4 linked regions of the Anolis sagrei genome follow. The protein of the gene in region 2 interacts with the protein of the main gene of each other region in a pairwise test. Links are inferred from orthologs where the notes say so. Each region holds a gene or a part of one and is shown on either strand. Other genes may lie near its edges.

Region 1 (7,383 bases), on a different chromosome or scaffold from region 2:
AAAACTGCACCTTTGCAGATAAAATGTGGTTCTGGAGTATCTTCAAAATGCATATTAAAGGGGAAATGTGACCCTTATCCAAAACCAGTTGCAAACCTCAACCAAGACCAAAAGGTTCCCCTATCAACAATACTTTCATCTTGTAAAGTTGAAGTTTGTGTGCTCAAATACAAACCAAATTACTTCCAGAGACCTGAAAGTTTCTACTGCCTTCCTACAATTAATCAATGGAAATGAGATACTGTTGTCTGCATTCAACAGCTGTGTATTTTCTGATTTATTGTGATCCTATTGTTGATTTGTTTTGCAAAATATGTTCAGAGGGGGATTATCACTGCCTTCCTCTGAGGCTGAGAGAGTGTGAATTATCCTCAATCACCCAGTGGATGTCCATGTCTGAGCAGAGAGTTTAATCTTGGTCTCCCAGAGTTTTTGTTCAGTACTCCAACTACTACTACATGCTAGCATACTACAGTACTCCAGTCCAAATCTACAGATAACCACCTCCAAGTCCAGCACCAAAAGGCTGTATAAGCAGATACCATGGTGGATTGCACCAAAAGTAGCTGACAGTCAATAGAGTTGCACTCCCCTGTTGCTCTCCTGGCAAAGGTAAGTGATTGTAGCCTGGAAACTGAGCCTGGAAACATCTATTCATACAAAATTAAATACTGCCCTATCCCTAAAGTCATTGCAGAAACCTATATTTTGCCCTACTTGTGAATTCCTCTTTCATAAGGTCAAAAGCCTGATATTTCAAGGGGCTGTGATATTTCAAGTCCGGCTGAAAGTGCTTTCATAGCCTGCTTAGTTTTCACCAGAAGCTTAATCCCTGCTCTCTAACACTGAGTATTAACACCTGGTCCTAAATCCCGTGCTTAATCTTGATTTGAGCAAATCCATTGAATTGTGTGAATTCACCTACATGTTCCAGCTGTGTAATGTTAGCTGAAACATACGCATGTGGCTGAGCTGCAGGGATTTCTCAGGAGACTGGGAGTGAATGTCCAAAGGAGTTGCTAACCCAGAACAGAAAGCTACTGTGTTCCAGAAGTACAGAATATGAATTCATCCGTAAGTTTAAATTTCTTTATTTCAAACGATAGTAGAGGACATGTTGGTATGCAGGGGGCATTAGTTAACAAGAGGCAGTCACCATTAAAGGAGCCCTCCAGATGTTGTTAAACTGCAGTTTCTAGCACTCTTGCTGTTAATCACGCTGGGGCTTGCAACAACATCTGGAGCTGCCCCAAAATAACAATTCTAATAAAAGGGAAATTCTCTTTGATGGTTACATTTGCTTGACTTATGTGGGTTTATAACATGCCCCTGCCCCTGACTTTTATAGCATTTCTCAATAGTTGGGAGTATTAACTAGAACTGGCAAGTCAGTCTATACTTAGCTCAATCCTATTGAGTGAATGGCTCTCCTCTAGTTAGAAGTAACAATAGGATTTGGGCAAATGAGAATTTATTCAAGTGTCAGAAGCGAATTGAGAATATTCTGCAAGTCACTTCTGGTGTGAGAGAACTGGCTGTCTGCAAGGACATTGCCCAGGGGCGCTCAGATGTGTTACCATCCTGTGGGAGGCTTCTCTCATGTCCCAATAATAATAATAATAATAATAATAATAATAATAATAATATACCAGGTGACAGTTGCACTGAGGAAAAACAACAGGAAAAACTCAGCCATTATCAGTACAGGTGGTCCCTGTGGTCATTGGCACACTGGGTGCCGTGCCAAAAGACCTCAGCCGGCATTTGGAAACAATAAACATTGACAAAATCACGATCTGTCAACTGCAAAAGGCCACCTTACTTGGAATTGCGCACATCATTTGAAAATACATCACAGTCCTAAACGCTTGGGAAGTGTTTGACTTGTGATTTTGTGATACAAAATCTAGCATATATATCTTGTTTGCTGTGTCATACTGTGTTTCTGTGTCAGTAAAATAATAACTTTATTTTTATACCCCACCTCCATCTTCCTGAAGGGACTTGGGGCGGCTTACACAGAACAGTTAAAAACACAATGTGTATCAACAAAATAATAACAAAAGCAATATAACAAAATAAAAACAACACTAAACAGTGTATATAACGGACGTCTTATCAGCCCCACACGGGAAGCTGGGGCTGATAGATGGAAAATCACCCTGTTTCGTAAATTTGAACTGCCGACCTTCAGGTCAGCAGTTCAGCTGGCACAAAGGTTTAACCCACTGTGCCACCTTGGCTCCCTTATTCAAGATTGGGGTGAGTTTACTTGGCAATCAGGAATGTTCCTAAATTGTCCATGAGATTGTGACAGCTTTTTCTTCTGATGGATGGTTCAGTGTAGAAAAAATTGAGGTTTTGTACAGAGAATTATTAGAAATATTGTGCATAGGGGTATAAGATATATATGAAACAGAAATGGGTTATGCACTTGGACTTGGATCCCCTCGCCAAGGGTTTCGGGCAAGGGGTGCTCAACTTACACCACCAAAACTACATCTTGCTGGGACAACACTTGAGAATGGGAAAGGCGAGAAGGCAATGGGATGCAACCACATTTTAAACTTAAGATGCATCTACACCATAGAAATGATGCAGCTTGACACCACTTTAACCGTGCCTGGCTCAATGCCATGGAATCATGGGAGTTGTAATTTTCTATGGTCTGTAGCAGGCACAGGACAAACTTTCTACTGCAGCCATGGAAGGCACCAACCCCCCCCCCCCCCCTTAAAATATTCTGGTACTGGAAGCTAAGCAGAGCCAGCCCCGGTTAGTCCTTGACTGGCGGAGGAATAGACTGTGAGCTACAGTTCAGAAGAAGGAAGTGGCAACAAGGTAAAGGCGCCCTCCCGACTTTCCCCCCTGCAAGCCCGCCCCCTCCCCCATTGCTCACCCAATGAGCTGCTTCCGCAGGGCCAGGGTCTCTTGGCGGCTGCGCGTCATGGCTGATCGAGGGAGGGAGGGAGGGAGGAAGGAAGGCAGGAAGCCCACAGAGAGGGAGGAGCGGCCGCGGAAGGTCGCCAAGCGGAAGCGGGAAAAGGAAAGGCCTTTGAATGCCCTTTTCCCCCTTCCTTCCGAGGCGGCGCTCAGGAATCCTTCCTTCCGAGGTGGCGCTCAGGAATCCAGCTCTTTGGGTGTTTTTGCCATTGCACGACACAAAAATCCACTGCCAATCGCTTTTGGCACCACTTTCTTGAGTGCACAGCTCCCAACTGCAGCAGCTCGGTACTTTGGAATCCTGGGAGCTGTAGTTCGACAAGGTCTCGAGCCCCCTGTTGCAAAGAGTCGTGGTGCCTCAGCAAAAGTGCAAAACCAGGCACCCTCAAACTGCGGCCCTCCAGCTGTTGGGGCCTTCGACTCCCACAACGCCTGACAATTGAACAAGCTCGTTAGGGCTTCTGGGAGTTGGAGGCCCCAAACAGCTGGAGGGCTGCAGTTTGAGGGTGCCTGTACAAAACCCTCAATCCCATAGCACTGAGCCAGTTCAAGTGGGGGCAAGCCACAATTGAAAAGAGATATTGACAAGCTGGAATGTGTCCAGAGGAAGGCGACTAAAATGATCAAGGGTCTGGAAAACAAGCCCTACGAGGAGCGTCTTAAAGAGCTGGGCATGTTTAGCCTGAAGAAGAGAAGGCGGAGAGGAGACATGATAGCCATGTACAAATATGGGAGAGGAAGTCATAGGGAGGAGGGAGGAGGCTTATGTTCTGCCCTGGAGACTAGGACATGGAACAATGGCTTCAAATTACAAGAAAGGAGATTCCATCTAAACATTAGGACAAACTTGTCTGTGAGAGCTGTTCAGCAGTGGAACTCTCTGCCCCAGAGTGTGGTAGAGGCTCCTCCTTTGGAAGATTTTAAACGGAGGCTGGCTGGCCATTTGTCAGGGGTGCTTTGAATGCAATTTTCCTGCTTCTTGGTGGAATGGGGTTGGACTGGATGGCCCATGAGGTCTCCTCCATCTCTATGATTCTATGATTCATCCTGCAGTGTAGATCAGGCATGGCCAAACTTGGAACACCTGGAGAAAGGCCCAAGTTTGCCCATGCCTGGTGTAGATGCACCCTGGGACTTGCCCTCAGGGGATTTTTCTGCCTAAGGACTATAAAAGGGCCTCAGATGCTGCCTGTTCTTGGAGGCTTAGCAGGGTCAGCCCTGGTTAATACTTGGGCGGGAAACCCCCAGTGAATAGCACCTGCTGTAGGTTATTTTTCGGAGGAAGGAACTGGCCAAGTCCCCCTAGGGCAGTGATTCTCAAGCTGTGGGTGCCCAGGTGTTTTGGCTACAACTTCCAGAAATCCCAGTTTTCCAGCTGTTAGGATTTCTGGGAGTTGAAGGCTAAAACATCTGGGGACCCATAGGTTGAGAACCACTGCCTTGGGGCCTCATCACACTAGAGCAGTGGTTCTCAACCTGGGGTCTCATTTTGGGCTTATTGGCCAGTATGAAAATAGTGGAATGAAAAGGACCCCAACTATCTTGAAAGGTATAATATTATGAGTAAGAATTGGCACCACTTTGGGCAGTGCTCATTGGGAATGTGTGGCCTTCCAGAAATGATTTTTCTCTTGTACTTTCCAATCTCTTGTCAGCCTAGAGTGACCCCATGAATTTCACTGGGTCTTTTTAGCTGAGGAATACTTTTAAGCGCTTTGGCATTGCCATCTATAGCCTCCAGCAGTATGTGGCCTTCACAGAACTTTAGACTCCTTTGGAACAGAATTGACCTTGAGATCACTCACTGTACACTACTTTCTGCATACATAATTGAAATTCTGAGTAGCACTTCATGCATCTGAGGAATTGGACTATTGTCCACAATAGTACATTCTGTAATAAAATGTATTAATTTTATGGTGCTACAGAATTCCTTCTCATTTTCATATTTTAATGTTTTTTTTTCTTAAACCATTTGAAGACAAGGCAGTAAAATTATATGGAAAGTTGGTTTTGCAGGAACCATTCTTATTGTTAATCATGTTATTTAATGCTCATCTGCATGTTTTCAGGAATCCGACATTGCCAAATACAATATATTGTCCAATGTATAATTTAAAAATAATTTATTTAGGATTAAATCTACCTGAATAGAATGGGCGTTAACTATCAAATAAAGAATGCCCATGTACATCAACTGAGCAATGCAAGGCTGTAATTATATGGAAAGGAGGGTTGCGTTCAAAAAAGCAAATTGTTGCAGATTCCTGCTTCTGCTTTAGCAGACTCATCCTACAAATGTTTATCAAGGGCTATTCAGTCTAACTGCTGCAACACGCTCTACATGGGGTGGCCTTTGGAGACTGTTTGGAAGCTTCAATTGGTCCAATGGACAGCAGCCAGATTTCTCATTGGAGTGGCATATAGGGAGCACACAACCCCCCCCCCCCAATTGCGTCAGCTCCACTGGCTACCGATTCAAAATGCTGGCTTTAGCTTATAAAGCCCTAAACAGCTCCAGCACAACTTACCTGTCAGAACATATCTCTCCTTATGAAGCAGTTAAAGCATTAAGATCTTCTGGGGAGGCCCTGCTCTTGGTCCCACCCCATTTGTAAGCACAACTGGTGGGGATGAGAAACAGGGCCTTCTCGGTGGTGGCCCCACAGCTATGGAATTCCCTCCCCTGTGATATTAGATTGGGCTCCTTCCTGGTTTTCAGGGAAAAAAGTAAAGACATGGCTTTGGAACCAGGCATTTGGGGAGTAGTGCAATATGGAATTGGCATGATGTAGCAGCATGTATGACGACTTCAGGTCTCATGTTTTTAACAGTTCTAATTGTATTTATTTCATTATCTGTTTTATTGCTAAAGTAATTGTGTTTTATTGTGTTGCATATTTGTTTTGTTTATGTGGCATTGAATATTGCCATACTGTGAGCCGCTCTGAGTCCCCTTCGGGGTGAGATAGAGCAGGATAGAAATATAGTAAAAAAAACAAAAACTTTATGCCATGCAGGAATATACAACTAAAGCACTTATGAAAGATGCCCATTCAACGTGTTTAAAGGTCTACCACCCACTAAGATAATCTATTTCTCATGTTTAAGTGGAATGTCTTATCTTGTAATTTGTATCCATTGATTCAAGTTCCCCAAACAAATGAGCTCCATTTTCTACGTGACGTCCCTTCTGATATTTATGGATAGTCATCATGTCAGCTCAGGTGTTCCTCATAAGGCTTGGTTTCCAGATCTTTGATCATTGCAGCTTGTTAATACTATTTTTGGACTTCATTGAGGACACTGGAAAAACTCAGTGTGAGCTTGTTAAAGCTTTTTTCCCTACACTTAATAAGTTTATGTAATACAAGCTTTGCCCTCCCCACTTGTTCGAGACTGAATGTACATCTCCCTCTGGTGGTCACTCTGTTCCATAGGAATCTCTGTTACAGTGGACTCCTTTAGTTGCTTGTGCTTCCTCTGAATATTTTTGGTATTCTGCACTCCTCAGGATTACACCCAGTCTCCCAATTATGTGAGTAGTGTTTTTCTGGCTTGAAACATTCCTAATATAAATTAAGTGTGGGCAACTATGCCCCTTCGTGAGTTTGGATTGCACCCTTTACCTTTAGCTATGCTGTCCAGAACTGATGGAAGTTGCATTCCAATATCTTGTGAGCCAAAGTTGCTTATCCTTGGTGTATACTGTATAGAATACTTTAAGATATCCAGTGCCTGCGATCCGACATTCCCTCAACATGTCTTAAACATTTAAATGTGCAGCTATGCTGTGGTACTATTACTGGCCATCTGCAAGGACGTTACCCAAGGAATGCCTGGATGTTTGATGTTTTACCATCCTTGTGGGAGGCTTCTGTCATGTCCCTGCACGGGGAACTGGAGCTAACAGAGGGAGCTCAACCCACTCTCCCCGGGTTCGAACCACTGACCTGTCAGTCTTCAGTCCTGCCAGCACAAGGGTTTAACCCATTGCGCCACTGGGGGCTCCATTCAATACCATGTAAAATAGCAATATTGTACAACTAATGCCGATGACTGGGCACCATTGAGTAATGCAGAATATGCACTGTGCAACCACTGGTTTGAAGTCTGGGTAAGAGCTCAACTGGATGGAAAAAAACCTGTTAATCTTAACCTAAATGCCAGAATGGGACCACAGTTCTGGTTGTGTATGCTGAGGGCTAAACAAGAGAGAAATGACAAAAGCCATAGTAAAAACTATATGTACAAGAAGCAATTTATTTTTAATCTGTTCAAATATCAACTCTTGCTATGGATTAAAGCACAAGATAGTGGGAACACTGCGAAACAATGCAGTGCCTGTTGTAAAATTTACAAAACAGAATTGATCAGTACAAGTCCATTATTTTTTTATTCAATAATGCATAATACTGTATTAATGCCTTCATTTCTTTT
Region 2 (7,873 bases):
TAGAACCCAGAATATTAAGGCAGATAATCCACAATATCTGCTTTGAACTGGGTTATCTGAGTCCACACTGCCATGCATTCCAGTTCAAAGCAGAAAATGTTGGATTTTATTCAGCTGTGCAGAAAAGGCCTCACTTCCATCTCTGAATACAATGCACTGGTCTGAGAAAACAGGCCTGAAGTGAGCTTCTTTCAAAAATTTTCAAACTTTGGGGAACCACTGCTTTAATTTCTGATCATCAATAAAATAACCTATCATAAAGGAAAAGAATAATGTGTGCAGAAGCGGGACACCTAATATTCAGAAACAAGTTATAATTGGTGTGCCCTCCTCCTGGCCCTGCAGGCAATTCTTAATTATTGGAGGATTATGTGACTCTGTGCCCACTTATTTATTTACTATATTTACATACCGCTTTTCTCAGCCCTCAGGTGACTCAAAGCGGTTAACAGTAGCAAAATTCAATGCTCAAAACATCACAAAACAGTCAAAAATAATTAAAACAGTAGGATAATAATAATCAATTATACATCAATAAAAGATCTCATTAGCATCTCATAGTTAGAATCAAGATCCAGTCTCATCATCCAGTTGTTCCATATTCCTATATTCATTACACTGCCTGTTCAAATGCCTGTTCGGACAACCAGGTCTTCACTTTCCTCCTAAATGCTAACAAGGAGGGGGCCATCTAATATCTGTAGGAAGGGCGTTCCACAGCGAAGAGGCCACCACTGAGAAAGCCCTGTTTCTCATCCCTGCCAGACATACTTGTGATGCAGGCAGGACCGAGAGCAGGGCCTCCCCACATGATCTTAATGTCCTAGCTGGTTCATAGGAGGAGATGCATTCGGACGGGTTAGTTGGGCCACTTCCCAAGGTGCTTCTGCACTGTAGAATTAATGTGGTTTGAAACCAAATGTATGAGTATGGAGCTGCGGTGGTGCAATGGGTTAAACCCTTGTCCAGGCTGAACTGTTGACCTGAAGGTCAGCGGTTCAAATCTGGGGAGTGGGATGAGCTCCCATCTGTCAGCTCCAGCTTCTTGTGCGGAGACATGAGAGAAGCCACCCACAGGATGGCAACACATCCAGGTGTCCCCTGGGCAACATCCATGCAGATGGCAAATTCTCTCACACCAGAAGTGACTTACAGTATATACTCAATTCGCTTCTGACACGATTAAAAACAAATCCAAGTGTATGTAGCTTCAGGTCGCTCAGGGACTTGTGGCAACCCCATGATATTTTATAGGGTTTCCTAGGCAAGGAAGACTTGGGATATACTTATTTATTTATTTATTTATTTACTATTCTTGTATACCGCTGTATCTCAAGCCCAAGGGCGACTCACAGCGGTTTATAATATAGTCCCCCTTGCCTAAGAAACTCTATACATTTACATTATAGAATTAATGTATGTCAGCACCACTTTAACTACTCTGACTGGAAGCTGTGGAATCTTTGGACTCTCTGGCAGAGGAGGCTGGAGACATTGCAAAACTACAACTCCCATGGTTCCATAGCAAGGAGCTCTGGCAGTTCGAGCAGTGTCAAAGCGCTGAGGGGGGAAAGGAAGGGGCCTGAGGCTGTTAGGAATTGTGGGAGTTGGAGTCCAAATCACCTGGCGGGCCCAAATTTACCCATGCCTGAGAGGGGAAAGGAAAGGGCCTGAGACTATTAGGAAATGGAGGGAAAGCGGCTGAGGAGGGAAAGGAAGGGGCCTGAGGCTGTTAGGAATCATGGGAGTTGGAGTCCAAAACACCTGGAGGGCCCAAGCTTACCCATGCCTGAGAGGGAAAAGGAATGGGCCGGAGACTGTTAGGAAATGGGGGGAAAGCGGCTGAGAGGGGAAAGGAAAGGGCCTGAGGCTGTTAGGAATTGTGGGAGTTGGTGTCCAAATCATCTAGGTCAGTGGTTCTCAACCTGGGGTCCCCAGATGTTTTTGGCCTTTAACTCCCAGAAATCCTGGGATTTCTGGGAGTTGTAGGCAAAAAACATCTGGGGACTCCAGGTTAAGAACCACTGACCTAGAGGGACCAAGTTTACCCATGCCTGAGAGGGAAAAAGAAAGGGCCGGAGACTGTTAGGAAATGGGGGGAAAGCAGCTGTGGGGGGAAAGGAAAGGGCCTGAGGCTGTTAGGAATTGTGGGAGTTGGAGTCCAAAACACCTGGAGGGCCCAAGTTTAGTCATGCCCGTCCCAGATAGTCCATGCATTGTGTACGTTCAGACATGTGAGAGTCAGGCTCCAATTGTCTATACTGGACCTGTTAGGAATTGTGGGCGTTGAGAGTCCAAAACACCTGGAGGGAGGGCCCAAGTTTGCCCATGCCTGGTGTAGAAGGATGCACCTCAGATGATGCGGTGGGGTGGGGAATCATTCCTCCCAGCAACACCAGCAGCATCTTCTGTTGATGTTTGAGAAGCGGGAGAATGAATGGGAAACCCAACGCCTGAAGGAAGAGCAGGGGATGATGGAGTTGGTGATGATGCTCTATAGGTAGATGTCACAGCAGCCTGCAGGCAGAGGTTGCCAACGGAGGTGGCGGCAGACCAAAAACGAAGAAAAGGAAGGAAGAAAAGGAAGGAAGGCAGGCAGGCAGGCAAGTCGGAGAGAGCAGCCGGGAAATGCGCACCGCCGCAGTGCCCGGAGGGAGCCTTAAAAGGAAGCGCCTGGGTCCCAAAACAAGAGGCTGCGAGAAGAGGAGGAGGATAAGGGGGGGGGGGGGCACCGGGGTAGGAAAAGGCGCCCCAGACCCGGCCATTATTTCATTTCCCTCTCCCACTGGAAGTTACTCACCCTAAGGGGCAGGAGGAGCCCGGCGCAGTTGCCGTCTCGTGGAAGGAGGCATCGTGGAAGAGGAGGAGGAGGAGGAAGAGGGAGCTGCAGCAGAGAAGGTCCTCTCCCCCGCCGCGCCGCAGCTGGAGCCGCCAGGGCTGCAAGGCAGGCCCTCTGGCTCCTCCTCCTCCTCCACTGCCACTCGTGGAATGAAGCAAACTCCAGGCGGGACTTGGCACCCGAGATTCCCCCACCCTACCCCCAGCTTATCTGGAAGCTCCTCCTCCCTCCTCTCCTCCTCCTCCTCCTCCTTCCTCTCCTTCTTCCTCCTCCTTCCTCCTCCTCCTTCCTTCTCTTCATTTCTCCTTCCATGTTCCTCCTCTTCTTTCTTCCTCCTCCTCCTCCTTCCCCTTCCCCCATCCCATCCCACCAAGATTCTCCCATCCCACCAAGATGGGGTTCTTCCATGGCTCTCTAGTACAGTGTTTCTCAACCTTCCTCATGCCGCGACCCCTTACTACAAGTTCCTTATGTTGTGGTGACCCCCAAACTTAAAATTATTTTCTTTGCTACTTCATAACTGTAATTTTGCTACTGTGTTGAACTGTAATGTAAATATCTGATATGCAGGATGGATTTTCATTCACTGGACCAAATTTGGCACATATACCCAATACGCCCAAATTTGAATACTGTTGGGGTTGTGGGGTGTGTATTTTTGTCATTTGGGAGTTGTAGTTGGGATTTATAGTTAACCTACAATCAAAGAGCATTCCGAACTCCACCAACTACAGAATTGTGCCAAACTTCTCACACAGAACCCCCATACTGGTGTATGCCTCCCTCCAACCTCACATGCTTTCCCTTGCTCTCTCATGCCCACCATGCTCTGATGTGCCAAGCACGCCTGCTCTCCCCTTCCTGCTTGGAGTCTCAGAAACAGTCCTCCCCTTGGCTGAGAGGCCACCTGAGAGGCCTGCCAATCAGAGTGAAGGAGGGCTTTTGGTGGGAGGATCCGCGGCCGTTTCGAATAAGGAAAGTCTTCTTTGCCAAAGGGGTTCCTAAGACCAGCAGAAATATATGTTTTCTGATGGTCTTTGGCGACCCCTCTGAAAACCCCTCACGACCCCCCAGAAGGGGCCCCAGAATATCAAGGCAGATAATCCATAATATCTGCTTTGAAGTGGGTTATCTGAGTCCACATTGCCATATAACCTAGTTATATGGCAATGTGGACTCAGATAACCCAGTTGAAAGCAGATAATGTGGGATTTTATGCAGCTACGTGGAAGGGGCCTTATTTACAACATAATGCACTTCTACTTATGATGGCTCTATGGACGAGAGAGTATATCGTGGGATATACAGTAGATCCTGTCTAGAAGGGTCCTTAGAGCTATATTCCCCGGACTCAAAAATGGGACAACACAATCCTATATGAAATAATTTAGAAATCAAGCTCTATAGAGATGTATGGTGCTCTATACAGCTCTATAGGGTACAGATTACAGGCACAGGAAACCTGCTATGCTAATCTTTCCAAAGGGAGGCTCAAACTTTTGGACTCAGGCCTCTTCCACACTGCCCCTATATCCCAGGATCTGATCCCAGATTATCTCTTTATCCCAGAGATTTTACTGGTAGTGGAGACACATATAATCCAGTTTAAATCAGATAATCTGGGATGAGATCCTGGGATATAGGATGTAGAAGGGGCCTCAGATACTTTGTTGGATGGAGAACATTTTGAAATTTAAATTCCAGCTGAAATCAGAACTTTTCTGATTGGGAATGATGGAATAATCTTCCAGTACATGATTACAGCTGCCAAGCTGCTTTATTTACAGAGATGGAAAGATACAAACATCCCATCACAAGAAGATTGGTTGGTGGCATTGTGTGGCTTGGTAAGGATAACAAATTAGCAATTTTGGCTAAAGAGAAATAACTTCACAAAAAATTTTTCACAATAATTGCATTTCTGAAACTGGTGGAAATTAACAGTGCTAGGATTTGAAGAATAGTAAACATGAACAAATATGTAGAACCGTTTTTATATTATAAAATTAGAAGAAACAGGCAATTGTAACCATTAACTGGGACATTGGAAGTCACATGTTTATGTTTCCCATTTTGTTTTCTGTATTGTCATTTTATAGTGTAGTTATTTACACTTGCAGTTTAAATAGTAGTTACTTTGTGTTCTGTAGTGTATCTAATTTTTCCTTATATTTTTTTATATTTTAAAGTTTTTGTTTTAATAAAGGTATCATAAACAAAAAGGGAGGCTCTGCTGAGTGGATACATACTACAACGTTGTAACATTATGATTCTACTTTAACTGCTAGTTAAACACATCAGCTATATGTTTTAACTGATGATGTATGTTGTTCTCCACCTTTATCCATGAAGAGGGATGGGTAGGACATGATAATGCAGTTTCCTTATCCAGAATTCCAAAATACTCCAAAATTTAAAACTGACCATCTTGTCGGCTAAAACAGTGACATTTATGCTTTTTGGCAGTTCAGTGTAAAAAACCTGTGTCTTATGCACACAATTTTTTTTAAGTGTGTATAATAAGTATATGTATCAGAAATATATAAAACATGCATAGATTCCTTGTTTAGACTTGGGTTTGAGGTTTGACATACAACATATCTCATCATTTTGTATTCAGGTATTTCAGAATACAACAACAGAACAACAACAATAATAATTGGATTTTGGGATACCTGTATGCATACATGATATTATTATTTTAAATAATTAGTATTATTGGATATGTGTATGTACATGATTATGATGATGAAAATGATTATTATTGGATATCTGTATATATACATGAATTATTACTATTATTATTATTGGCATCTGCATATGTACATATTATTATTATTATTATTATTATTATTATTATTATTGACACAAAAAACACAGTATGTCACAGCAAACAAGATATATATGTTGGATTTCGTATCACAAAATCACAAGTCAAACACTTCCCAAGCTTCTAGGACTGGGTTATTATTATTATTATTATTATTATTAATAATAATAGTGGGATACCTGTATAGATACATGATTACTTTTTATTTTTGTTATGTTCACATTCAATCAATTTACCTGTTCTGAACTTATGACCAAACTCTGATTCAGGTGGTTTTAGCTTGGTTGGTATAGTTGACCTCGCTGGCGTTATTGGCTGCATATTTTAATTAATTATTTCATATGAAAGTTACTGTTGTTTATATAATTTATGTGTGATGTTGGCTATGTTGGATTGTTTTCCACATGCAACACTTTGAAAAACAAGCCCTGGAAACAACAACAAAAACGCCCACTATGTGGTTCAGATATGTGAATGACACCTTCACCACTTGGAGCCATGGAGAAGAAGAACTAAACAGGTTCCTGGACCACCTTAACAGCATCCACCGAAACATCCAATTCATCATGGAAAAAGAAAATGAAGGAAAACTGCCTTTTCTAGATGTTCTCGTCATCCGCAAACCAGATCAACAATTGGTTCACAGAGTTTATAGAACACACGGATAGATACCTACATAAAAATTCCGATCATTACCCAAGTAAAAAAAAGAAGCACCATTAAAGCCCTGGCAGACTGTGCAAAAAGAATCTGCGAAAACCATCTCCTCCAAGACGAACAGAACCACCTAAACTGGGGTTTACAGGCCAATGGATACTCCACCACAGACATCAGAAGACCAAGAACAAGGCACGAGAGTAAAGGCAAAGATCCACCCAAAGGAACTATACATCAAGGGAACCACTGACCGCATAGGGAACCTGGTGAGAAAACACAAACTATCTACAGACCTACTAAGAAAATCCAACAAGTGCTACATTCAACAAAGGACAAAAGGGATCCTCTCACCTCTGCAGGAATCTACCGTATACCATGCAGATGTGGACAAGTGTACATAGGGACCACGAAATGCAGTGCCCAAACACAAATCAAGGAACATGAAAGGCACTACAAGCTAATTCGACCTGAGAAGTCAGCCACAGCAGAGCACCTGATGATCTAACCTGGACATAGCATATTATTTGAGAACACAGAAATGTTGGACCCCTAGTTGTTCAATGACACAGAGAAGTCATTGAAATCCACGAGCATGTGGACAATTTCAACAGAAAGGAAGAAACCATGAAAATGAACAAAATATGGCTACCGGTATTAAAAAAAAACTCTAAAATTATAACAGTAAATAAAGAACAACACACAAACACAGGGGAACTCCAGACAAGAAACAATCAGGAATCACCTCTCAATAAAGGATTCCCCCCAGGCAATAACAAGTCACATCTAAAAAAAATCCTGTTAGGCCATCAAATGCCAATCAAGGTGGCCAATTGAAACATTCACACCTAGCTCCAACAGCCAGGGATTCTTTCTCCCACCCTGGACATTACAGATATATAAATTCAATTTTCCTAGTTTACAACAGACCTCACAACCTCTGAAGATGCCTGCCATAGATGCAGGCGAAACATCAGGAGAGAATGCTTCTAGAACATGGCCATACAGCCCGAAAAACCTACAACAACCCAGTGATTCCAGCCAATAAATCCTTTGACAACACACTGCCAACACACTTTGACAACACTTTGACAACACACTTGGGGCGGGGGAGGGGGCAGGGGACTTCCATCTTGTCTCCTGCATATGTCATCAGTTGGGGACCCCTTCCCCCAGCGCTGACTGCTGCTCGGGGTCAAAGTGAGGAGAGAGGGGGCCAGGGGACAGTTCCATCTTGTCTCCTGCATGTCATCATTTGGGGACCCCTCGCCCAAGCACCGGCTGCCACTCTGGGTCAAAGTGAGGAGGGGGGGGCAGAGGACAGTTCCACCTTGTCTCCTCCTGCATATTCATCAGTTGGGGACCCCTCCCCCCAGCTCCAACTGCCGCTCTGGGCCAGAGTGAAGAGAGAGGGAGCCAGGGGACAGTTCCACCTTGTCTCCTGTGCTATGCTAATAATATAATATAATGTAATGTAATATATTGTATATACATATATTTATAATATTATAATGAACTGCAATATAATACTAATAATATAATTATATATT
Region 3 (7,771 bases), on a different chromosome or scaffold from region 2:
GTCTGGGTGGAAGGGCCCTGGGAAACCGTACTCCAATTATTGTACCATAAAATGTGCAAAATAGTAAAAAATACAGCATCGTATCAAATCATTTATGTTGGATAAGTGAGACTCTACTGTACATATAATGATAGTATCATAATATTCTTCATTCATTCAGTCGTTTCCAACTCTTTGTGACCTCATGGACCAGCCCAAGTCAGAGCTCCCTGTCGGCTGTCACCACCCGCAGCTCCTTCATAGTTAAGCCAGTCACTTCAAGGATGCAATCAATCCATCTTGCCCTTGGTTGGCCCCTCTTCCTTTTTCCTTCCATTTTCCCCAGCATCATGGTCTTCTCTAAGCTTTCCTTGTCTTCTCATGATGAGGCCAAAGTACTTCATCTTTGCCTCTACTATTCTTCCCTCCAATGAGCGGTCGGGCTGTATTTCCTGAAGTATGGACTGGTTGGATCTTCTCGCAGTCCAAGGCACTCTCAGAAATTTCCTCCAACACCACAGTTCAAAAGCATCTCTCTTCCTTCGCTCAGCCTTCCTTGTGGTCCAGCTCTCACATCCGTAGGTGACTATTGGGAATACCATTGCTTTAACGATGCAGATCTTTGTTGCCAGTGTGATGTCTATACTCTTCACTATTTTATCAAGATTGGTCATTGCTCTCCTCCCAAGAAGTAATTGTCTCCTGATCTAATTGTCTGCATCTGCAGTGATCTTTGCACCTAGAAATACAAAGTCTGTCACTGCCTCCATGTTTTCTCCCTCTGTTTCCCAGTTTTCAATCATTCTTCTTGCCATAATCTTGATTTTTTAATGTTTAACTGCAACCCAGCTTTTGCGCTTTCTTCTTTCACCTTGATTAGAAGGCTCCTCAGCTCCTCCTCACTTTCTGCCATCAGAGTGGTGTCATCTGCATATCTAAGATTGTTAATGTTTCTTCCAGCAATTTTCACCCCAGCCAGAAAAAGAAAATAACAATATAACACAATATAATTCCAATAATACAATATAATATTGTAATACACAATACAGTAATATTAATATTATGCTATGTGAATATAATATGTTGTATATACATATATTGATATTATAATATAATCCAATATAATTCTAGTAATACAAAATAATAAACATTGTAATATAGGTAAAGGTAAAGGTTTCCTCTGACATTAAATCCAGTCATGTATGAATCTGGGGGTTGGTGCTCATTTCCATTTCTAAGCCGAAGAGCCGGAGTTGCCGTAGACACCTCCAAGGCCATGTGGCCAGCATGACTGCATGGAGCACTGTTACCTTCCCGCCGGAGCGGTACCTATTGATCTACTCACATTTGCATGTTTTCGAACTGCTAGGTTGGCAGAAGCTGGGGCTGAGAACGGAAGCTCATGCCGCTCTCCACATTCGAACCTGTGACCTTTCGGTCAAGAAGTTTAGTACCTCAGCAGTTTAACCCACTCTGCCACCGGGGGCTCCTACACTGTAATATAATAATAGTAAAATTGCACTGTGCGAATATAATATATTGTATATACATATATTGATATTATAGTATAATCCCATATTTCTAATAATAACACAATATAATATACATTGTAATTTAGTAATAGTAATATTGTGCTATGCAAATATAATATACTGTATATACATATATTGATAATATGATAATATAATACAATATAATATATATTGTCATATAATACCAATATTGTACTATGTAAATATATAGTATATACATATATTGATAATACAATACAATACAATACAATCTTAATAGTAATAATACAATATATATTGCAATATAGTAATACTAATATTGTGCCATGCAAATATATTGTATATACATGTATATATGGGCGCTAGAAACAACATCATACGAAAGCTGACTGGCACAACCTGGGGATCACAACCAGACACAGTGAAGACATCTGCCCTTGCGCTATGCTACTCTGCTGCTGAGTATGCATGCCCAGCGTGGAACACATCTCACCACACTAAAACAGTAGATGTGGCTCTTAATGAGACATGCCGCATTATCACAGGGTGTCTGCGCCCCACACCACTGCTTAGCCGGTATTGCACCACCTGACATCCGCCGGGAAGTTGCAGCCAGTAGTGAAAGGACCAAGGCAGAGACATCTCCAGCTCATCCCTTTTTTATTATTATTATAACTTTATTTGTACCCCGCTAGCATCTCCCAAGGGATTCGATGCGGCTTACACAGGCCGAAGCCCAACACAATACAACAATACAATACCTAAGAAAATAAAGCAAATCCCTTGTACGGTTCCGGTCCAGCGTATCTGTCCGAACGTATCTCCCTCTACGTACCACCCCGGACCTTGAGATCATCTGGGGGGGGCCCTGCTCTCGACCCCACCACTCTCACAAGTGAGGCTGGTGGGGACGAGGAGCAGGGCTTTCTCAGTGGTGGCTCCTCACCTGTGGAACTCACTCCCCGGGGAAATCAGGGCAGCAGCATCCCTCCTCGCCTTTAGGAGGAGGGTGAAGACGTGGTTGTGGGACCAGGCCTTTGGGCACTCCAGCAATTAAAGCAGACATTCAGGCGAGTAAGACCAGCAGGACTGATGAAGTGGAACAGGAAACTAGAACTATGAATGAGCAAACGCTGACCATGTAAAAGGAGAAATTGGGTTTGTATGGGGGTTTTATTGATTTTATGGGAATAATGTATGAATTTATGTATGAATTGTTAATTGATTTGATGTAATTTTGTGTACACTTGTTTTATGATGCAGGCATCAAATTGTGCCTTGCTACTGTAAGCCGCCCTGAGTCCCCTTCGGGGTGAGAAGGGCGGGGTAGAAGAACCCCAAATAAATAAATAAATAAAATATCAGCCAGCACGCCAACGACTTAAATCAAGACATAGTTTTCTTAGATCTACAGAGACACTCGCTGGAACACCCCAGCAAGCGAGAGTCCAAAAGTGGCAGGCCCAAACCCAGCACCTCAATCCCTGGGTGATACCAGATGAGAGACTCCCCCTGGGCACACAGAAGACTGGGCGACTTGGAAGCGCTGAACAAACTGCGCTCTGGCATCACGAGATGCAGAGCCAATCTTAAGAAATGGGGCTACAGGGTGGAATCCACGGCATGCGAGTGTGGAGAAGAGCAAACCACTGACCACCTGCTGCAATGCAACCTGAGCCCTGCCACATGCACCATGGAGGACCTTCTTGCGGCAACCCCAGAGGCACTCCAAGTGGCCAGATACTGGTCAAAGGACATCGAATCAACATTGAATCAATTACCAAGTCTGCAAAATCTGTGGGTTTTTTTAAACCTGTTTGTTTGTTTTGTTCTGTTAGAAATGTAATACAATGGTATGGTTGCTGATGACACGATAAATAAATATATATCCAGTGGGTTAAAGCACTGATCTGCTGAGCTTGTTGATCGAAAGGTCACAGGTTCGATTCTGGGGAGCGGCGTGAGCTTCCGCTGTCAGCCCTAGCTTCTGCCAACCTAGCAGTTCGAAAACATGGAAATGTGAGTAGATCAATAGGTACCGCTCCAGCGGGAAGGTAACGGCGCTCCATGCAGTCATGCCGGCCACATGACCTTGGAGGTGTCTATGGACAACACTGGCTCTTCGGCTTAGAAATGGAGATGAGCACCACACCCCAGAGTCAGACATGACTGGACTTAATGTCAGGGTACTACCTTTACCTTTACCTTTAGATACATATATAGATAATATAATACATTACAATCTTAATAATAATACAATATATATTGTAATCTAGTAATACTAATATTGTGCCATGCAAATATATTGTATATAGGTTCTTGTGGGTTTTTTCGGGCTATAGGGTCATGTTCTAGAGCAGGGGTCAGGAACCTTCGGCCCTCCAGGTGTGGTGGACTTCAACTCCCACAATTCCTTGAGGCTCGGCATTCGCTCCAAAGGCTTACCTTGGCCTCAAGGAATTGTGGGAGTTGAAGTCCACCACACCTGGAGGGCCGAAGGTTCCCCATGCCTGTTCTAGAGGCATTTCTCCTGACGTTTCGCCTGCATCTATGGCAAGCATCCTCAGAGGTAGTGAGGTCTGCAAGCCTTCAAATGCTAATGAAGGTGGCCAGTTGAAACATTCACACCTAGCTCCAGCAGAGCTCTTTGCCCCACCCTGGTCATTCCACAGATATATAAACCCATTGTCCTACTTCCAGCAGACCTCACTACCTCTGAGGATGCTTGCCATAGATACAGGCAAAACGTCAGGAGAAAATGCCTCTAGAACATGGCCCTATAGCCCGAAAAAACCCACAAGAACCTAGATTTTATTATTGTATATTTGCCATGTTTTTGATTGTGAGCCATTATTTTGCCATGGAAGAATGGGATTTTACAATGTCTGTAGCCTTCTGTGACAAAGAGTACTGGTACCTCACCAACTTAGCAGTTAAAGCAGTATCAAACCGCATTCATTCTGCAGTGTAGATGCATCTTGGACCTTGGGTGATGTTTTACCCTGGTCTAGGCGTGGCGAGGACCACCACCATGTGGGCTAGTGCAAACCCCCATGCAATGGCGCCCGTCTTCTCCCAACAAAAGGGAGAGCTGCAGTGCCCCCCTCCCACTTTCCCCATTGCTGCGCCTGCTGCCACACCCAGCTCTGCTCCGAAGCCCCCTCCCTCTCCCGCTACGTGTCTCTTTCCGCCGCCGTCCAATCAGAACGCCGCTCCTGACGCCCGCGGGCCAATGGGAGCGCGGACCGCCCGCCAGTTTATAAAACCTTTGTCTGGGCGCCCGGCCCGCCTTCCTGCCTTCCCTCTGCGTCGCCTTCGGAGGATCGAACCTTGAGCTCCCCAACGTTCTGAGTCTTAAAGGAGCGGCGCGCCTCTGAAGCAGAAAGGAACGAGGGAAAAGTAATTAAGAGGGGGGAAAGTGTTTTGAAAGCCAGGCAAAGATGAGGGAAATCGTGCACATTCAAGCTGGGCAATGTGGTAACCAGATCGGTGCAAAGGTGAGGATGGGTCATTGAGGTATATATTATTAAATTGGGGTTGCAAAAAAAGAAAAGTAATTCAAGCAATATAATTTTTCATAATTCAGGAGATTATTATTTTAAAATGTGGCCGAAAGGAAGTAGTCGGCAGAGCTGCACATTGGATGTAAAATATTGGCTTGGGAGGGGAAGGACTCGTTTTAATTCCTTTCAACAACAAGGAAAGGAAGGTGGGGCTGTAACGCTGCTTCCGGGGCTGTAACGCTGCTTCCGTTCCTTACAAAACGCTCTCCTATTGCAAAGTCATTTTTCTTTGGGGGGGCGCGCACATTAAATTTAAAATATTGGCGTGGGAGGGGGATGACTCGTTTTAATTCCTTTCAACGACAAGGAAAGGAACGTGGGGCTGTAACGCTGCTTCCGTTCCTTACAAAACGCTTTCCTATTGCAAAGTCATTTTTCTTGGGGGGGCGGGCGCATTGGATTTAAAATATTGGCTTGGGAGGGGAAGGACTCGTTTTAATTCCTTTCAACGACAAGGAAAGGAACGTGGGGCTGTAACGCTGCTTCCGTTCCGTACAAAACGCTCGCCTATTGCAAAGCCATTGTCTTTGGGGGGAGGGGGAAGGGGTAAAGGAAAGCTGGGTGGGGCGGCAACGAGATCCAAACGCTGTGAAAAGGAACGACGTTAAATAAGAACGCGCCATTATGCTTCCTCTTTCCCATCCCTATAATCACAGCGTTTTCCCAATCTCCAAGGTGTTCTTTCTCCCGCTTAACTACTCTGCTATGGAAAGTAACTCGTTACTTCCTCCTAAAGGGCGTGGAATTTGCTTCCAAAAGCACATTTTCCCCAAATATCTCCAGTGTTTTTCCTTATTTAACTACTTTGCAACGGAAAGTAACGCGTTGCTTTTCCAGAAGGAACGGCGTTACTTAACTGGCGTGGAATTTGCTTCCTCCCATAATCACAGCGCTTTCTCCATATCTCCCAAGTTCTTTCCTTCCGTTTAACTATTTTTAACAATGTAACGCGTTACCTCTCCCAAAGGAACGGCGTTACTTAAGGGGCGTGGGGTTCGCTTCCTCTTAACATGCATTCAGGTGGTGAAAAGGGAGGGAAGGCGCCCCCAATTCCCCGCCAACTAACGTCCTCCTTAACGTTTTTAGCGCCAAGGAGCTGCAACCAGGAGGAGGGATTTGAATTTTTTTTTTGCTAAAGGAAGTGGGAGGGGAGAAAAAGGCATGAGGTTTCCCGCACGAGGCTCTGAAGTGTGGGGTGAAAATAGCGGGCTTTATCTCTATATACCTTATCAATATCTTTTAACCATTGCTCTACAGTCTCTTTGTAATAAACACACATAAAGGGTTGGAGTTGGAGCAACAATGAGTAGCCTCTCCATTGTAATATGAATGCAGCTTGCTCCCATTATTAACTGCCATGGCTAAAGGGTGTGGAGTCCTGGGATTTGTAGTTTGGTGACACATAGAGTTGGAAGAGACCTGATGGGCTATCCAGTCCAACCCCATTCTGCCAAGAAGCAGGAAAATTGCATTCAAAGCACCCCCGACAGATGGCCATCGAGCCTCTGTTTAAAAGCTTCCAAAGAAGGAGCCTCCACCATACTCCGAGGCAGAGAGTTCCACTGCTGAACGGTTCTCACAATCAGGAAGTTCTTCCTAATGTTCAGATGGAATCTCCTTTCTTGTAGTTTGAAGCCAAAGTCAAAGAAACTATAAATCCCAAACAAAAAGAAAAGCCACGGGGCAGAGAGTTCCACTGCTGAACGGCTCTCACAGTCAGGAAGTTCTTCCTAATGTTCAGATGGAATCTCCTTTCTTGTAGTTTGAAGCCAAAGTCAAAGAAACTATAAATCCCAAACAAAAAGAATAGCCACGGGGCAGAGAGCTCCACTGCTGAACGGCTCTCACAGTCAGGAAGTTCTTCCTAATGTTCAGATGGAATCTCCTTTCTTGTAGTTTGAAGCCAAAGCCAAAGAAACTATAAATCCCAAACAAAAAGAAAAGCCACGGGGCAGAGAGTTCCACTGCTGAACGGCTCTCACAGTCAGGAAGTTCTTCCTAATGTTCAGATGGAATCTCCTTTCTTGTAGTTTGAAGCCAAAGTCAAAGAAACTATAAATCCCAAACAAAAAGAATAGCCACGGGGCAGAGAGTTCCACTGCTGAACGGCTCTCACAGTCAGGAAGTTCTTCCTAATGTTCAGATGGAATCTCCTTTCTTGTAGTTTGAAGCCAAAGCCAAAGAAACTATAAATCCCAAACAAAAAGAAAAGCCACGGGGCAGAGAGTTCCACTGCTGAACGGCTCTCACAGTCAGGAAGTTCTTCCTAATGTTCAGATGGAATCTCCTTTCTTGTAGTTTGAAGCCAAAGTCAAAGAAACTATAAATCCCAAACAAAAAGAATAGCCACGGGACAGAGAGTTCCACTGCTGAACGGCTCTCACAGTCAGGAAGTTCTTCCTAATGTTCAGATGGAATCTCCTTTCTTGTAGTTTGAAGCCAAAGCCAAAGAAACTATAAATCCCAAACAAAAAGAAAAGCCACGGGGCAGAGAGTTCCACTGCTGAACGGCTCTCACAGTCAGGAAGTTCTTCCTAATGTTCAGATGGAATCTCCTTTCTTGTAGTTTGAAGCCAAAGCCAAAAAAACCCTATAAATCCCAAACAAAAAGAAAAGCCAAAAGCCAGGCATGTGTTCCTCAAAAGGAAAAAAAGTGCCTACTTGGGAAATACAATGTGTCTTATTTTAAAACTGCTTCAGAGACACCAATAAACTCGT
Region 4 (7,381 bases), on a different chromosome or scaffold from region 2:
ATTGGCTGGAGTTACACTTCAAAAATGTGCCTGTTCTGACTTACATACAAATGCAACTGAAGAACAAACCTACAGAACCTGCCTTGCCTGCAACTTGGGGACAGCCTGTACTACCAACAATAAGGACTTTGGAATCTCTCTGTTCTTATATTTTCATACCTATCTGATAGTAGCTACTTTTCACCCAGTGCAACAGTGGAGTTGAGCTGGGCTAAATATCCCTTGTGGTATTAAGTTACCCATTTTCTTTCCCCTCCCCACTCCAATCCCTGCTTTTTTATAGATGACAGATAACACGTGACAATGTGTTGAATGTACCTTTTTAAATTGCGACAGTCCTAAGTCTTCCTCCTCAGGAGAGATCTCCAGTCACTCTGGGTCAAATCTTCACATGAACGTTTGGCTGTGTGGTCCTAGGAGAAACCCAAGAGAGCTTGTCACTGGCTGAAATCAACACATCCAAGCTGCTTTCAATTGGTCTCCGTTCTCAGCTCCCACCAAATGAAAACTGCCTGCAGACACACACAAATACACAATGCTCATCAACACATCTTCCCAATTCCAAGGTCCTTCCTTTTCAAAAGTCACCGGGTTGAATCCAGCTGGCACAGCGTCATTTATTCCCGGCTCTCCCTCTCACCAAACCTGTTTCTCCACACCTCAGAGCATAGGAAGCAACAATTCAGAAGCAGCTCCTCTGAGCATGTGCGAGCGCCTGGCTTTCGCAGAAGGCCAGCCCAAGAGAAAGGACTTCTTTGAGAGTTGGACACTCCCCAAAGCCCACCAGATGCTGCAGCTCACAGCATTCGCAACATTCCTCACTCTGGGTGCATCTATACACAGTAGAATGAATGCAGCTTCACACCTCTTCTTGCACTGCCCAATGCTACAGAATCCTGGGAATTGTAGTTTTATAAAGCACCAGTACTCTTTGGCAGAGAAGGCTAAAGACCTTGTAAAACCACAACTTCCATGATATCCTAGCATTGAGCCATGGCAGTTCCAGTGGTGTGAAACTACATTCAGTCCTAGCCAACATAGTATAGACCAGGCATGGGCAAACTTCAGCCCTCCAGGTATTTTGGACTCTAACTCCCACAATTCCTAACAGCCACAGGCCCCTCCCTTTCCCCCTCAGTCGCTTAAGTGAAAAAGTATAGGAAAGAAAGGAAAGGGCCTGAGGCTGTTAGGAATTGTGGGAGTTGGAGTCCAAAATACCTGGAGGGCCGAAGTTTGTCCATGCCTGGTGTAGACACACACTATGTTGGCTAGGTCTGTTGAGAACTGCAGTTCAGCAACATCTGGCCACGGATTTCCCCATTCTTCTTCTAGTCCCTTGCACCTTTACATCCATCTGCATCATTTGAGAAACTTGTTTTGGACTGCAGGCTCCAGAATCCTTCTAAACTCGCACTGCAATTTTTCCAATTTGATGTTTTACGTGACTATATTCAATAGCAACAGTCTTCATAGAAGGAGAAGAGGGCAGGCATGTTGAGACAGGGGCCGTGCTAGTTAAAGGATTGGGATAACTGCAGTTCTAAATGTTAACTTTCCTCCAAATTCTGCCTTGATGGGGAGCAAGGCCCATTGAATCTGGTGGGATGTAATGCTGACTAGACCTGCATAGGCTGGCACTACTATTATGGAGAAATCCATACTGAAGTCAAGTGGAAAGAGTTTCTCTTTTTCCCTTCAGGAGCAAAAACTGAAGTCTCCCAGGGCACCTGATGAACCAACCTGGACACAGCATATTATTGGAGAAGACAGAAATGCTGGACCACTCTGACAACTACCATGTCAGACTACACAGAGAAGCCACTGAAATTCACAAGCAGGTGGACAATTTCAACAGAAAGGAAAAAACCAAGAAAATGAACAAAATCTGGCTACCAGTATTTAAAAAAAAACTCTAAAATTAGAACAGTAAATAAGGAGCAATGCTCAAAAAGCAAGGGAATTGAGACAAGAGTAAATCAGGGCCAGCTAACACCTCCCAACAAAGGATTCCCCCAGGCAGTAACCAGACAGGCATTGAAGCTGCAAGGCTACAATGCTAATCAAGCTGGCCAATTGTAGCATTCACACCTGACTCAAGCAGACAAGAGTTCTTTCTCCCACCCTGGACATTGTTCCACAGATATAGAAACCCCACTTGCCTAGTTTCCAACAGACCTCTCAACCTCTGAGGAGGGTTGTAGGCGAAATGTCAGGAGAGAATGCTTCTGGAACATGGCCATACAGCCCGGAAAACTCACAGCAACCTAGTGATTCTGGCCATGAAAGCCTTCAACAACGCATTCCCCTAGGGGAGATAGGGCACCCTATAAATAAAGTATTATTATTTGAAACATAACAAGATTAAAACACAGCAAACAAGGTCACTATGCTGATTATTGTATTGGATCACACGTCGGACCCTTCCCAAGTCTCTCGGACTGTGTGATGTATTGGCGAATAATGCGTGCAGATCCCAGTAGGGTGGCCTTTTGCAGCTGGCAGATGGCAATTTTGTCAGTACTGATTGTGTTTAAGTGCAGGCCAAGGTCTTTAGGCACTGCATCCAGTGTGCCGATCACCACTGGGACCACCTTTGATTCGCTGGTCACAACTCCCTCTCCTGCTTCTCTGGTTCAAGACCAAAACAACTGTGGGATGTTCCACGTTGTCCTGGTGCCCGTTTTCGAGACAGTAAAACAAACCCGACAAATCATGTTTTTCCCTCTCTCTCTATGTCCCTCCCTCTCGCTCGCTCTCTCGCTCTGGATTCGGGGGAGCTGTAGTTTTCCAAGGTCTTTCTGCTTCTCTGCCCAAGAGTGTCTCACTAAAGGACAACTCCCAGGATCTCACAGAACTGAGCCAGGGCAGTCAAAGTGGCGTCGAAACTGGGCTCATTCTATAGTCACGCCGCGACTTCCCCGTGGGGCCCTTACCTGGAGTTGCCGGCAGCACCTGACTCGGTCCCCTCTCACCGGGATTGCCCCCCCCCCCCGTCCTCTCTTTCCCCGCCTTCCCCAGCGAGGCCTCTCCCCTCCCTCCTTCCCTCCCACCCCCCCCCCCCCGCCGGCTCGGCGGCGCGGGGAGGGCGGGGCCCCCGGGAGGAGGCGCAGTAGCCCCGCCCAGAGCAGCCCCAGGCGGCAGGCACCGGGGAGTCCCTGGCCCAAGTCATTTCTCTGCCTGAGGCGGAGCTTTCAAGGGCCCGCGTCCGGCCACAGTCCCCATTCAGGGCCAGGCTCATCCTCATGCTCTGGGGATGTATGAAGGTTGCATGCAGCCTGACCCCACTTGAACTGCCCGCTCTCAAGACCCTGGGATTTGGAGTTTTACAAGGCGTATCCTTCCCAACCGTGCCTTGCAAGTGCATTCATTCTACATTAAGCGGCTGGGGGGGGGGGGGGGGAGGAAGGGGCCTGAGGCTGTTAGGAATGGTGGAAGTTGGAGTCCAAAACGCCTGGAGGGCCCAAGTAGGCCCATGCCTGGTGTAGAATTCCTTTCAGTGTCACCGTGGAGGGGATTGACTCACGCAGAAGGAAGGGTGGTGTCGACTTCTCAATTGTGGATGACTAACTCCTACTTCGAAAGTTGAGCAAGTAAAGTTTCCATTTGGAGGTGGGGTTTTTTTCCCATGTCAGGAGTGACTAGAGAAACTGCACATCGCTTCTGGTGTGAGAGAATTGGCCGTCTTCAAGGACGTTGCCCAGGGAATGCCCCAGTGTTTGGATGTTCGACCATCTCTCATGCCCCCGCATGTGGAGCTGGAGCTGACAGCGGGAGCTCGTCAGATTCGAACCTCTGACCTATTGGCACCCATTGTGTCACCAGGTGTGGGGTGAGGGGAGCATCTGTTGTGATTTCAATGGCAGTTCTCTGTCATGTTCGGATTCAAAGGGCTGATTCTCAGGCAGGACACGCCTGGTGTGAGAGGGTTGGAGTTTGGCCCCAGTCCGTTGCCAGTGGGTTGAGTTTTTCAGCCGCCTTGCACTGTGTGGCTCTGAGAATGAATGCTATGGAAGGTGACATTGATCCCTCTTCCAGATCACAGGGGAAGAAGAAATGCCAGCCTGCCAGGAGTTTTGCTCATCCACTTTGGTCAGGTTTACCCAGCAAGGTCTTTGGAAAAGGATGATGGAAGCTGAAGTCCACAACTGAATTGAGGGCCAAATACCATCTAGTAGGTAAAGGGTTTTCCCCTGACATTAAGTCCAGTCATGTCTGACTCTGGGGGTTGGTACTCATCTCCAATTCTAAGCCGAAGAGCTGGCATTGTCCATAGACGTCTCCAAAGTAATGTGGCCAGCATGACTGCATGAAGCACTGTTACCTTCCCACCAAAGCAGTACCTATTGATCTACACACATTTGCATGTGTTTCGAACTGCTAGGTTGGCAGAAGCTGGGGCTAACAACGGGAGCTCATGCCACTCCCCAAATTTGAACCTGTGACCTTTCAATCAGAAGTTCAGTATCTCAGTGCTTTAACCCACTGTGCCACCAGGGGCTCCTATCTTAGCCATGCCTTAAACTTGGCATGGGCAAACTTCGGCCCTCCTACAGCTGTTAGGAATTGTGGAAGTTGAAGTCCAAAATACCTTGAAGGCCATTTGCCTGCCTTAAACTCTCCAGCCACAGCTGCTGCTTTGTGTTACTCCAGTCAAGTTTGTAAAATGGATCCTTCCCATAACTAATTCATTTTGGATTTAACAAGAGAAATGGAGATGAGCACCAACCCCCAGAGTCAGACACGACTGGACTTAATGTCAGGGGAAAACCTTTACCTTAACCTATCAAGGAGTTCCCTGATTTAGATTGAACATTAGGTCCACTGACCTGAAAAATCTTGTTGTCCCTTAATCCCAGGTGCAAACGGGTGAAACCAGAGATTTCTTAAGATCTGTCACCTGATAACCTCTTCATTATTACTTAAGACATTCTGGAGTCAATGTATGTTTACTGAAAACAAGTGCTGAGGCAAAGGCCTTGAAAACCTGAGTCATGTAAACTGGAAAGCCTTTAGTAAACTGGGGATCACAGCTGTAGGGAACTCTCTGGATGGCCCCTATGGCATTCCCCATGAGACATCCATCCTCCAGTTGCTATTTTGTAATTTTTGCATAGTTTTGGTGCACATTCCAAAAGCATTAAAAGCCTTGCTTATTTATTTATGTATTTATTTACTGTGTTTTATATCCCACCCTCTCTCCTTTGTAGAGGAACTCAGAGTGGCTAATAGTTGGCAACATTAGATGCCATTCAAGCATAAGACAACATTTTGTTGAAGGTTTTCAAGGCTGGAATCATTAGGTTTCTGTGAGTTTTCCGGGCTGTATGGCCATGTTCCAGAAACATTCTCTCCTGACGTTTTGCCCACATCTATGACAGGCATCCTCAGAGGTTGTGTGAGGTCAACCTCTGAGGAGGCCTGCCATAGATGTGAGCAAACATCAGGAGAGAATGCTTCTGGAACACGGCCATACAGCCTGGAAAATTCACAGCAACCCAATTAGACAAAATCATTTGCTTACACTTACATACACCCACCACCTACCTAACACAGGATAAAAACTAGAGTGGTTGGTCCAGCTTCCCCTGAGTGATTATCTGATCAGTGTCCCAGAGGGACAGCATGTGGATGCAACTTCCTCTTGGGTAGTCATGCCTTTCTGTTGTGAGAGGATGCTTTTCAGGAGTCCTCTCTGCAATGTGAAGCTAGTTGTGCATTGGGATCTCAGGCCGGTTTATGCGAGTTTTTCAGACCTCAGCAAAATCTTACCTGGGCCAAACCAGCATTGTTCACTTGAGTCCACCATTAGTTCTCCATCAGTAGAGCATATTAAAAAGGGTCCAGCCATCATGGATAGTACCATTTCCCATTTCGTGAGGTTGTCAGCAGCATTTAAAACCAACTCTCCGAAATCTTCCAGGCACTGTTATTCCCAGGTGGGAGATGCTTTTACACACCTGCAGTGATATAGATCTCCACAGCTCATTTTGTGCCAAGGCAAAAAAGCCCAAAACAAATGCCCTTTTCATTCAGTGCCAAGGGCCCGCATTCCACTTTGCTGCCAGCAAACAAAGGCACCAGCCACTTGTGGAACCCATGAGTAATCCTCCAGTGCCATTTGTGGCAGGGGGTGCCCAGAGATCATCCAGTGCCCCTGAAATGCAGCTGGCTCTGGGGTCAGGCTCCTCACTGTAGGTAATGTCCAAATGCAGGGAAAAGGCAGAGAGAGAGAGAAATATAATAATCTCCTTGAGCCAGCCATTACGTAAAATGTTTGTGGCAGATTTGTGCAGGCAACCCTCTGGGCTAAATTCTGCTTTTGGTGACCAGAGGCAAATGACCTATAAAGGTACTTATTATGTTCTGGAGAAAGCTGATCTTTAGTATTATGAATGGGCTGAAAGCCTTTCATTGTCTGGAGGAAATTCATCCAGCCTGGATCTACTTCTAAACAGACACGGTCAGGTCGTCTGTGGGGTTTTGCTGTTTTCCAGATGGACTAGACGGTTTCTTCTGTGTGTGGGCTGGAGCTTTGTGATGTCGCCAGTTTTCCCTTGCCGGAGCTTACACAGTGACGATATTTGTGTGGTGGCCTGGATCCCGGCACCTGGAAGAAACTGTCGAATGAAAGTATGCCAGCCTGACACCAGTGCTCCGGAGCATTAAGAAACTCGGCAGCCTGTTACAGCTTCCTTGTTGCTCTTGACTCGCTACTTCTGGCTTTGGGATTATCTGCCCCCTTCATTTGCACTGATGATACTCTTCCCAGGGAACAGGCCTACCTGGAGGCACTTGGCCTTATTATTAGGTGACTAATTATGAAAATTCTGCCACCCTGGATTGGTAATGTGCAGCAACATGTTTACTCAGAGGAACGTTGCAATAACAAAGAAAATCTATGAATGTTTACTCAGATGAAAAACATATTAAGTTCAAAGAACTTATTGTTGCTGTGTGCTTTCTGACTTATGGCAACCCTACCGTGCAGTTTTATTGGCAAGATTTTCTCAGAGAAAGTTGCCCTTTGCATTCCTCTAAGGATTTTTTTTTTCAGGTCAAGAGCGACTTGAGAAACTGCAAGTCACTACTGGTGTGAGAGAATTGGCCATCTGCAAGGACATTGCCCAGGGGGTGCCTGGATGTTTTTTGATGTTTTTACCATCCTTATGGGAGGCTTCTCTCATGTCCCGCATGGAGCTGGAGCTGATAGTGATGAATAAAACTATATTTGCATAATCTGGCAGTCGTTACAACACCAGAAGATAGCCTTTAATGTGCAGAGTAGCAAGCTTGCGGAAACCAGAGCTAAAGTAGATGAATGCCAGCGGCTGTAAAAGGTACTAGGCCACCCCCCTTCTTTCTCCCTTTTAGGAAATACGCA

Evidence for each region.
Region 1: the proteins of LNX2 (region 2) and PHYKPL interact in binary tests that used the Homo sapiens proteins (3 or more experiments, as listed by UniProt). The link is inferred for Anolis sagrei from reciprocal best matches to the Homo sapiens genes LNX2 and PHYKPL.
Region 3: the proteins of LNX2 (region 2) and TUBB interact in a two-hybrid assay, tested with the Homo sapiens proteins (3 studies listed by BioGRID and IntAct). The link is inferred for Anolis sagrei from reciprocal best matches to the Homo sapiens genes LNX2 and TUBB.
Region 4: the proteins of LNX2 (region 2) and volume-regulated anion channel subunit LRRC8E-like interact in a two-hybrid assay, tested with the Homo sapiens proteins (3 studies listed by BioGRID and IntAct). The link is inferred for Anolis sagrei from reciprocal best matches to the Homo sapiens genes LNX2 and LRRC8E.

Annotation. Positions count from the first base shown.
Region 1 is NC_090022.1:88,355,737-88,363,119, reverse strand, and holds the start of PHYKPL (5-phosphohydroxy-L-lysine phospho-lyase), read right to left. Parts: upstream 3,010-7,383; 5' UTR 2,950-3,009; coding exon 2,900-2,949; intron 1-2,899.
Region 2 is NC_090023.1:31,187,620-31,195,492, forward strand, and holds the start of LNX2 (ligand of Numb protein X 2), read right to left. Parts: upstream 3,018-7,873; 5' UTR 2,801-3,017; intron 1-2,800.
Region 3 is NC_090022.1:21,651,696-21,659,466, reverse strand, and holds the start of TUBB (tubulin beta chain), read left to right. Parts: upstream 1-4,756; 5' UTR 4,757-4,930; coding exon 4,931-4,987; intron 4,988-7,771. UniProt on the Homo sapiens protein: Tubulin is the major constituent of microtubules, a cylinder consisting of laterally associated linear protofilaments composed of alpha- and beta-tubulin heterodimers.
Region 4 is NC_090022.1:112,648,223-112,655,603, forward strand, and holds the start of volume-regulated anion channel subunit LRRC8E-like, read right to left. Parts: upstream 3,017-7,381; 5' UTR 2,934-3,016; intron 414-2,933; 5' UTR 319-413; intron 1-318. UniProt on the Homo sapiens protein: Non-essential component of the volume-regulated anion channel (VRAC, also named VSOAC channel), an anion channel required to maintain a constant cell volume in response to extracellular or intracellular osmotic changes.